Linked DNA regions of Neurospora crassa OR74A. The protein of the gene in region 2 interacts with the protein of the main gene of each other region in a pairwise test. Links are inferred from orthologs where the notes say so. Each region holds a gene or a part of one and is shown on either strand. Other genes may lie near its edges.

What was found. The genes of interacting proteins can lie anywhere in the genome.
Region 1: the proteins of NCU02984 (region 2) and NCU08678 interact in binary tests that used the Saccharomyces cerevisiae proteins (3 or more experiments, as listed by UniProt). The link is inferred for Neurospora crassa OR74A from reciprocal best matches to the Saccharomyces cerevisiae genes TMA22 and TMA20.

What each region holds. Positions count from the first base shown.
Region 1 is NC_026504.1:4,135,549-4,140,816, reverse strand, and holds NCU08678 (translation machinery-associated protein 20), read left to right. Parts: upstream 1-2,301; 5' UTR 2,302-2,569; coding exon 2,570-2,583; intron 2,584-2,714; coding exon 2,715-3,354; 3' UTR 3,355-3,949; downstream 3,950-5,268. Other genes in the region: NCU08677 (hypothetical protein), read left to right, coding at 1,608-1,718, 1,807-1,944; NCU08679 (hypothetical protein), read right to left, coding at 5,002-5,268. UniProt on the Saccharomyces cerevisiae protein: Involved in translation.
Region 2 is NC_026501.1:8,504,311-8,509,961, reverse strand, and holds NCU02984 (translation machinery-associated protein 22), read right to left. Parts: upstream 3,163-5,651; 5' UTR 2,829-3,162; coding exon 2,789-2,828; intron 2,694-2,788; coding exon 2,674-2,693; intron 2,566-2,673; coding exon 2,260-2,565; intron 2,114-2,259; coding exon 1,916-2,113; 3' UTR 1,498-1,915; downstream 1-1,497. Other genes in the region: NCU02983 (hypothetical protein), read left to right, coding at 202-412, 473-1,497; NCU02988 (hypothetical protein), read left to right, coding at 4,840-5,651.

The DNA of each region.
Region 1 (5,268 bases), on a different chromosome or scaffold from region 2:
GGCTGCTTTGGGAGGAAAGTCAATGTGAGATGGAGATGGTTGGTTTACGGGGTGTCGAGTCAAGAGATGTCAAAGGCAAAATCCGAGTCCAGCTTCCTCAGCTTGGAAAGTGAAGTGGGGGATCACATTAGGTGCTACGCTATGTACACTATCGTCCGCACAGAGGTCCCGCAGCATGCGATTGCGGGCAGTCAGTCCCACCGTGACCGTCATGGCCGCACGGCAACACCCAGCTTTCATCACAGGTGTCAGCCAGTCCCGTTCTCCCGGCCACACGCGGGCTGCCACCTGACGACAGGTCACCTCGATCAAGATCAATGCTGTTCAGTTTACCACATCTTTGTTCACCTTCGGAACTCTTTTCCCGTGTGGCTTGACACTCGAGTCCTTTCAACTTGACTGTTTGGAAACTTCCGGCCGTTAAGGTGGCAGAAGCCGAAAAGCAGCATGGACCACAACGAAGCAGCAGTTCCCCATCGTGTTGCGTCATTGTGAAGCTTCAGCTCCCCCATATTCGATCGACATGGCATGCTAGGCCCTAACCCTGACTGCATGTTGAAACATCCGGCCATCAGACGGAACAAAAGAGAAGAACTCGACAACATTTACCCTTGAATGACTCGAGATAATCGACCTCTTCTCTCACGAATAACTTTGGGAGAAAATAAAGAGGAACCATCTAGGTCTTCACTTTAAGCCGGCTGTCTTGGACAAGCCATCAAGTGTTGAAGATCATGCGCTGTCATGTGAACTGATGTTGTGTACCTCGCACCCCTCGGCGGCACTTTTGCCAGATGGTTTACCCAGTACAATCGGCCCTCGTTTATAAGTACTTCTTCTGACCATAACTATCACATACGACCATAGATGGTAGAAAACTCGGGATCCCGTCCGCTCTCCCATAGATAAGCTACCAATCGCCTGACTAGTAGTTGGGTCGGTGACGACCAGCGAATCCCAGGTGTTGTATGTCTTTTTTCCCATTCTCGTAGATATCTTTTTGCTTTCGCTGCTGTAGCACATTGATTTCTTGCACCAATGTGCACCGGCATATGTTTGAAGCGCCCGGGGGGGGAGACAGCATGGGTTATTGACAGTGGGCTCGAGAAAAAGACCCTTGTCCACTGAGACGCCGAGCTTGTTCTCCTGACCTTGACCTACCAGTACGCAAATTCAGTTACGAATCCGATCGATAATGTGTCGAAGGATACTACTAGTGTAGGTTTTCGGGTTGACGCGTGTTGCTGGAACCAAATTCAACGAGAGTCTGTGAGCGCAGGACGGAGCTGAGTTCACAGTTTGTTCTGATCAGACACACCAACTATATGTAAGCCTCACAGCTTCACACCACAGCCCATTTTGTCCCCGTGACCAAGGTGGCTTAGCGATAAGTTCAGGTTGCTACGTCATCACCTTGGCTTCCAGCACACTGAGGGGAAGTTCAAGTGTCGGGTCTCTATATAAGGAACCACAACAAAAACAACTAACATCAACATCTCACGTTATGCCCAAGACACTTGCACACTAAGAAAATTTGAAATAATACAAGACAATATTACTTCAACACAAGAACTTGATCAACTTTGACACTACGCATATCCGACAAAATGCCTCTCGTTGTTCCCGGCGTTACCACCAACGACCCCACGGTCCAGAAGACGGAGGAGTGGATGAACAAGTTGTGCGGCAAGACGCTCGCTGACCACACTTCGGAGACTGTAAGAACATCCCCTGTTGAGAATGGCAAGACAGAGATGGTGTCCAAGCATGGAAGCTGACCCTCTTCCTTTTCCCTTCTGCCTACAGACCTTCTGCAAGTCCGATCTCCCAAAGCAAACCCGCATCATCGAGCCGGGTTCGATGGTCACGAAAGACTTTAACCCTGACCGTCTCAACGTACATGTCGGCGATGATGGGAAGGTCAGCCACGTTGTCCACGGTTAAGGGGGAACAAAGAGCGGTGATGGAATGGCTATACCAGGCTTGAGGATATCATGGCATGACGTGGAGTTGCGAAGCGAGCGAGTTAATGAGTTATGGAGATACCAGCATGACGCTGTGTTTAACGAATGCGATGAATTCATCTATAGTACCATCCTGCCATAACTCATTGTGAGTACCTTGACGGCTGACGATAGAGGCCGTTGCCCCGGAGACCCTTTGTATCCATGTCCTTATCGTCGTCGACCGTCCCCTCTATCGGCTGCGCTATGACGACACCCCCTGGTCGCCGGCTGCTTTGGCGCGGCTGTTGACTGCTGCACAGATCGCAGCAGGACGGTCTTGGCAGATCGAGGTCGGGTCCCCACCTTCGACTTCTTCCCCTCCCCCGCCATGAATCGCCTTGGCCGTCGCGAGCGTCGCCTATGTATCGCCAGCTTCATTGATTCCAGCGAGGAGCACTTTGTTTTCATTGTTCACCTCACTTAGCAACACACACATCCCAGCTTGACGGTCCCTACATCAAGACTCGCCAAAACGACGAGCACGAACTCCACATATACATATCTGATATACTATACAACCACATATAATTTTCCAAGGTCGCAAAGTCGCAAATACCGCCACAATGTTCAAGAAGGAGTATGCCATCCACCACTCTGAACATACCTTCACCTGCCCTCCTTTGCCATATTCCCTTACCAACGTCACTCTACTGCCCGCCCGCCGTTACACCACCTCTCCAACATCCGCTAACTCTTCTCTCGTAACAGCATCACCCCCTCGCCCAAACAAAAGCTCAAATCCTCGATCCAGCGCAACTTGCGCCAGTCGCTGCTGACCACCTACCCGCTCCTGACCCCTCACATCGACGACATCATCCCCAAGAAGGCCTCGCTCGAGCAGATCAAGCTTCCCGACCGCGTGTCGCTGTACGTCATTGATGGAACCACCCCGCTCTTCTTCCAGGCCGACACGCCCTCGCAACAAAACACCATTGTGCCCCACCTCAAGCTCGTCCACCGCTTCCCGCAATGCTTCCCCACCATCAGGATAGATCGCGGCGCCATCCGCTTCGTTTTGAGTGGCGCCACCCTGATGGCCCCCGGCCTGACGAGCAAGGGCGGCCGCCTGCCGCAGCCGCATGAGAGGCCGCCGAGGGAGAAGAGCGCTGCCGAGGCCGAGAACGACGAGATCGAGGTGCCCAATGAGGGCGCTGATGAGGAAGGACACTGGAGTCGTGAGCTGGAGAAGGGCGAACCTGTTGTCGTCCTGGCTGAGGGCAAGGAGGAGGCTTGCGCCGTTGGAGTGCTGGTTGCGGGGACCAAGGAGATCAAGGAGAAGGGCAAGGGCCCGGTGATCGAGGAGGCGCATTTCCTTGGTGACGGTCTCTGGAGGATGGCGCTGGATTAAATAATACATGGAGGATGTTTGCGAAGGAAAACAGAAAAAAGTGTCGAATGTGTGGAGGAAGGGGGTTTCCCACCACCTACAAAGCGTTTTTGGAGCCGGGCATAAGAAGCAGCATGGTTTTGAGTTAAACAGTGGACATATGATCAGGTTAAGGGTTTATCTTTTCTCCCTGGTTTATGTGTTTTCCGCTCCGTTTCCTTTCTGATCTGTTTTGCTGTTCGTGTGTTAAGTGGATTTCAAGGCCACGGTGGTGGTGTTTGCTACACTTCGGGGAGCTGATCAATCATCAACAATCGATACCGTTACTGAGGTCAGGAAAGAGCAAGCGCTTTGTCTTGACTTGACTAAAGCACCTCGGCTGTATACCAGTTTTTCTTTGTCTTGTGTTTCTTAGCAGTCCCCCGATGTTCCCACCTTATCCTCCCGAGTTTTGTAATCCTTAACTTGTCTCCCTCTTATTGAAATTATCTCCATAGCATTGCATGGAGGATGTCAGTTCCAGTCTCACGATTTTAAGCGCACTACATGCTTACTTTTTAGTTTTTATCTCGACGGAACGACAACCCCCAGCGATGACAGCACGTTAAACTCCAACAACAACAACAACGGCCTTGGTCTTGGAAAAATGTCAGCCAGCGAATCGATAGACACTACGCCCGCCATCAACCCACGAGCGACATTCAGTTTTTCAACCTCTTGCTTATCAATATTCCGAAGGCATAGTGCCCCAACTCGTCCGAACCTGGTAATGGACTCATGACTGTTCCAGCGCGGGAGAGGCTATGCGTCACCACCTATTTACCTTCTCTTCCGACTCGGCATCATCGATAACTAACTTCACTGGAGGTAACCTCCCTGACTTTATGGTCAACCAGATATGCGGATGGAAAGGACGAATCGAGTCACTTGCCCTTACCTCCTGATCAATGGAAGGCGATCAGTATATCTGACATATAGGAGTACTTGGATTAGCGATCTCTCGATTAAAGCATGACTTCAAAACACGAGCCGCAACACCAGAAACGGTACGCCACACCATACAATACAAGGTTGTCAGTTGCTCCCGCATCGTGTTATCCCAATTTCTCTCGTCAGGTTTTCTTCTTCTTCTTCTATTCTTTTTTTCACATTCCTCATTTAAATCAATTTTTCTTCTCCAATTTTTTTTTCCCCCTCAATCAGCGGATGAGATATCTCTTAGGGCCATTCGAATAAACATTCTGGAGCCTACGTCGAAGAGCTTCGACTAGGTGTGGGCCAGATGGACGGATAGGTGTACATGCATGTTCACAGCGGGGAGAGGGAGGTGGATTCTCGTTTGAAAGATCACGGTCATATTCACGTTTCACAATAGGTTCAGTTTTGGGGACTTTGCGTTTTGTTTTTAGTCGGATCTCGTGTATTGATCCTAACATATGGGCGTTGTGGTGGTGACTTCATTGCAGAAAAGTACCGGAGCGTTGCGTGAACGATAATCGCAGACCATCACCACCTCTCTTCCAATTTCCTCCCTTCCACGCTGTGTCTTGGCTTGCTTGCTTGCTTGCTTCGTTGAGCTTCAGAGTCCATCTCTGCCAGAAGCCTTCTCTGCCCCTCCTCCTCCTTTCTGCGTCATCCCATTTGCCTCTTCCTGCTCGCAACATTCCTTCATCTTTTCTCCTTCTTCTTCTTCGCATCTTTACTTTCATGCTTCTCTTTGCGAGCCTTCTCCTTCTCGGCCCGCTTCGCGTCCTCCTCCTCACGTTTCTTCCGTTCGGCTTCTTCCTTTCGGAGTCTCTCCTGCTCCTCTTTCTCCTTCTGACGTTCAATCCGTTCTGCCTTCTCTGCGCGCTTCTCACTTCCGTCACACTTCACGCAGACCGAGAAATCTCCATGATGGCCGCTTCTGCCGTGGATCTCGCATGGGCGCCAGTG
Region 2 (5,651 bases):
GTTTACTCCAGGAATTGTCAACCACTCACAGCACAGCGTACCATTCAATTCAACCTGCAACACACTTCGACTCGCTCATCCATCAAGAATACGCCGATTGAAACATACAGACACTTTCTTCCGCTAACGATTTCTCGCCAATCTCCTCGAAAGCCCAAAGTCATAGCTGACAGAGTTACAATCATTCGATCTACGGCGACCATGTCTCCAACCACCGGCGCGAAACGCAGGTCGGACGAGGCCGATGTTCCTGACGACAAGAACAACACTGGCCTCGCGGTGCCGTCGCTTGACAAAAGTACAATGGAAAACGGACGACCACATGGCAGCGAAAGTCCCGCAAAGAAGAAGAGGCGAACAGGAATTACGGCGGCGCAAAAACAAGCGCTGATTGACAACTTGCAACTCGAGCGTGAGTTTATACCCCTAACAAGCCAGTGACGATGCGCGTGGCCGACTAACATATGTGTAGTCACCGAACGCGCTCGCAAGCTGCGGGCCAACTACGACATCCATGCGCAAAGTCTTCGAACCCGCATCGAAATTCGCGTCAACCGCATTCCCATGTCCCTTCGCAAAGTGAAGATGGGCGATCTCATACAAAAATACTCTACCGAACAGCAACAAAAGACCACGACTACATCTAACGGCCCCCCGGTACCACCGAAAGATGCGACATCATCACGCCCCATCTTCCAGCGACCAGCGATTGCTTCTAGACTTACCTCTCCGATACGGCCCAGCCCGATCAAGACGACAAGGTTAGTCCCCTTTTCTTCTTCCCAGGGGAAATGGACGCCGTCAGTATCAACATCATCCAACCCTAGCCATGAAGTTTCCGGTCGCGACAAAGAAAATTACGAAATCGAACCCATGAACACGGAGAAACGACAACGTCTCGGCCCAGCAGCCGACATCTTGCGCAACCACTCCAACCAAGTCCTCTCGCCCACATCCTCCAACTCGCGCCTAGCACCACGAGGGGAGCGCACCCCATCACCTACGAAACAACACTATCCGACCGGTATCGGCGCACGCCCAATTTCCCCAACCAAACCCACAGCCGGCACGAGTGCATCTACTCTCATCAGCAACATGGTCGAAAAGGCGCGATCGCGAGCGAACAGCCCCCAGAAGCACTCAACAACAACGGAAGCAACGCAAGCGAGCGCAGCAAAATCCAGAGCTAGAGCGGCAACCACATCTGCGGCTTCTGCTACCACACGGACATCGCGGAGAATTAGTGGCGCCAGCGTGTCTAGTGAGGCTAGCAGTACGTCATCGGCGGCGGCGCGGAGACAGCGACCGGCGACGGCGACGGGCATGGCATCTGGAACGGCGGCTAGTGCGAAGAGAGGTGTCATCAGCACGATCAAAAAGGGTATGGCCGCGACGAAGAAGGCGGCGGGTGGTGGGACGAAGGAAGCGGCAGAGAAGGTGGTCGCTAATACGGCGGCGCCGGCTGTGTCGGGGAGGGTGTTGCGAAAGAGGGGATGAGCGGGTTTGAACTTTTGTTTGAATTATCGAGTGTCATCAGTTTTTTCATTGCTGGGGTATGGACTTGGAGGATGTCCATCCAGGTTGTGCACTGTGGGATTGGCATTGTTATTGTTAGGCGTTGGATTGTATAGATGTTACGACCGCCGCCAGGTGTCGGCTTCACAGAGTTCGGCGTTATTAGGTCTGGCAGGTTTCAGGGAACAGTTGGGACATGGCGACTCCAAGTAATGTTATCATTTATCGCTTTTGTCTTTCGCTACTTACAGCGTCAAAAGCCTTTTCCCCCTCGATCTCAAGCGGAATAGCCAATACCATCCGAATAGCCTTGTGATATCAACCAAACTTAATCATTAACTCCCACCTGCTTTAGGCGCGCCTCCGCAGTCTTTTAGAATTCAAAGTCAAGTCGGAACAACTAGTTTCCTTCGCCCTTCTTCTTCTTCTTGTCTTCCACGAGTTCTATGTTGTCTTCGGGAACCTCCTTGTACTTTTCGAGGATGAACTCCTCAATCTCGCCGCTGACATCGCCCTGGACGACAATCTCCTCGCCGCCGCTGGGTACCTTGGTTACCGAAGAGCCGGTAGCGAACTTCTTGCCAAAGTCCTTGGCAACCTATTGCAGGTTAAACAGGATTAAGTTAGCGATCGCTCTTCCAGCATCACCACCATGATACATGTATAGCTAGCAGCCCGTAGGTAGGCGAGCTAGCTAGCTAGCCAGCATGTAAGCTTGGCTTGCGGGCAAAAGTATAACCGTACCTTCTTTAACTCCAACCCAAACGCCTCCAAGCCCGACACCGAAGTGACGTATTTCCTCTTGTTGCGCTCAATGCGCTTGATGGTCACTACGCTGTTGGCGCGCTTGTCGGCCTGCTTCTGCTCCGCCGCCTCGGCCTTGGCTGCCTTCTTCTTCGCGTCCTTCATGGCGCGCTCCTGCGCCTCGACTGACAGCGATGCCATCTCCGCCTCGAGCACCTCAGGCGACCATATCCTTGAGTACATGGTTGGTTGGTTCTTCTCAAGCCATTGCTGGCACTTTTTGACGGTTCCACCGTATTCGCAGTACTAAAATTCGGGGACGGTGATGGGTTGGTGAGTATGTAGTTGTCGGTCTTTGCTACGGGTCGGGGGGTTCGAGGGACGGATGGACGGTAAAGGGGAATAGTATCATACCTCGGGCGGCAGGGAGCATACTGGAATTCAAAGAGGGAATGGTCAGCGCAGGGTTCGATAATAGGGCAGCGGTTCGATTTGGAAGAGAGCGCAAGCATTGCATGTGACTACTTACCACCGCAATAGACAACAGGACGTCCTGTGAGTGCGGTCATGGCTGGATCTGTGGAGGAAATAGGCGCTATAGGTGAGGTACGAGTCGAAAGTATAGAATCTACAACTCTGTCGTTGTTCTCTGATATCTGGTAATGGATGTTTGTAGATCTAGTTGCGCCGCAAAAAAGTGATGTTTCGTTCCAGGAAGCGGATAGGCATGCGACGAAAGCGGATCATGGACGGGATAGCTTCTGTTGTTGTTGCACTTGCCCCTCCTTATCGCTGCTGGGGGCGTTCGCGATTGATAGTTGCGGGGCTTAGTTCTCTTTCGTCTCGGGCATGGCGGGGCACATTCGAAAGGCACTGAGGTGCCTGGGCCCTTGCCGTGACGACAACGTGGGCCAGTTGGAGAACAGGCACAGACCACTTGCGGGTTTGATATTGTGCTCCATACCTGACAGCGCCAAGCTCTTCAAAGTCCGGGGAAGGTCTGTGCGTCTTTGAAATAGCCGCCGAGCCCGACTGCAGCCGCAATCTTTCCTATTACCGCCGCTGCCACTGCCACAGACGGGTGCGCATCACTTCCACTTTCCCATGAACTGACATTTCCTTCGCCGGCTTCCAGCCTCCTACACCGCACCGCATCGGACACGGAGTTGGCTGCCGATACGGATGCCACCTAGCATATGGTCGGATGCGCGGTCCGGACACGTCGAAAGTGAACGATTTGTCAAATCACAGGTGAAGAGACTATGAACCCCAAGTGTGGAGTTTCTTGGGGCGCCAGCGTTCTCATCACCAAGTCATCACCTACACTACTCGACCAGCAGATCAAACTAGGTAAATATCAAAGTATGACCTCTCTACTGTATCCCGAATGCGCCGATTCAACATCATGGTGGAGTGATCTCCCGAAGCTCCCATTCGATTGATGGGAAGGGGTAATATCTGTCGATCGAGATTTACTTTTTTTTCTTTTTTTTTTTCCTCCCAGGCCAACAATTCGAGCTTTTCACGACACCGCCTCAGTTCCTCTCAGTGATCCTCGGCTGCACCATCAACGGGATCCAGGGTTACGTCGATCTCTAGGTTTGTAGATCACGAATGCAAGGGGCCGTGTTACCTAGCGTGGCTTTCGTTGCTTTACGATTTTGCGGTGTCTGCAACCCTTCACCGTCTGCGGTTCCCCATCTTCAATGCAATCATTCATGCTGACCTGTTTGGGAATCCTAGAGGTTGGAGAGTGTACCCGTTTGGAGTCTGCACTAGCAGAATCTGGTGGAGGATAGGAGAGAAACCCAATCATGGAGGATGGCTCGATATTTTAAGCGCCCAGCTGGGTGCCGGCGTCGCTCCCTACCATGTCATTGGTCGTATTCTCTGCAACGCTGTCGATGAACAGGCCCCATTGGCGCGCGCCTTGTCTTGTCATGGCACGCTTGGTTCGCCGGATTCTTCTTGGTCGACCTTCTGCGCAACCTGATTCGGTCGCACAGTTTTCTCCCACCCTCGTCAACCGGCTATCTCGAATTCTTGGTGCTGCCCAACCCCAAGCTCGTCCTGTGAGACACTGGGAAGAGCGAAGCCAAGTCTCGCCGACTGCCAGGGCCCGGCCGCCAGAGTCACGTCAACAGGCGACAACGGCGGCGCAATATGGGAGGACATGGGGCAATATCAGCGGGAATCCGGCTTTCATATGGTGCTAGAGAGCGTGCTAGCCGCTGTGGTGGGAATCAGCGGACAGACAGTCCAAGTGGACCCTGCCGTCGCCATCACGCACCTGACCATCCATCCATCTTTTTGTCTTTTATAATATCGCGTGGCCCAGACCGGCTGCGTTGAGCAGTCCTGTTTAGATCTCCATTCTCTTCTTATACCTTTCTGCGCCAATACAGGAATAGAGCTTCGTTGACCGAAGCCGGTCCATCGTTTAACCCCCCATTTCCATACTCTTCGTCTTACTGTTGCATTCGCATCGACGCCGGCGTCATTCCATTTTCCCGGTCAGCTCTATTTCCAGACTTTTTAATCAATATCAGAGCGACCCCATATTACCACGACACCAACATCATGTCGGACCTTCTGATTTTGCCCAGCACTACATACCGGCCACCCTCCCCGCAGGGCAGGCGGAGGATGGCCCGGACTCTTAATCCTATAATGGAGGAACCTGAACAGACCGATACCGAGACACCGCAGCAGGAGCAAAGGAGACACTTCAACATCCAGAACAACAACAGCAGCAGCAGCAACTGGCCAGTCAACCAAAAGATCGAGCAGTGGCTTGCCCCTTTTTCTCCCTTGAGTGACCATTTCCCTACGCCACGGGGCCTCCATTTCCTTGCCGCCCCGATCCTGCCGGCAACACCGTCGTGCATTTCGAGCTACCGCGGGCCGGACACGGATGCCGACGACACAAGTTCAGAGACTTCATCTTCCAACCCTTCTTCGGGAGCATGGAATAATAAACGATCAAGCGCCATGACTGATGTGACGGAATTTGACGACCTTTATGACATTTCGGATGAGGAACCGCAGCGCAAGGAGATGCTGCAAGCAAATGGTATTGGCCGCCACATGAGTTCGAGGAGGAGTCTACGGAGGTCATCGAGAGCTTCAATCGGTCAAAGACTGTCCCTGTCCCGTCTGGTCATCCCAGCCGATGTCCAGGCGGATGCGAAAAAGAACATGACTTCGCCCATTCCACCAACACCGCCATCCGCTATTGCCATGTCCCCAGCTGTCAAGTCATTGATGGAGCTACGGCAAATCCAGGAGATTCCCAACGTCTCCGCACCCCCTTCCCTTGATGGCAGCATCAACTCGGAGGAGATGGCTGCCATGTCCGCGCCGCCAACCCCCTTGATCGGAGCCCGGGACAA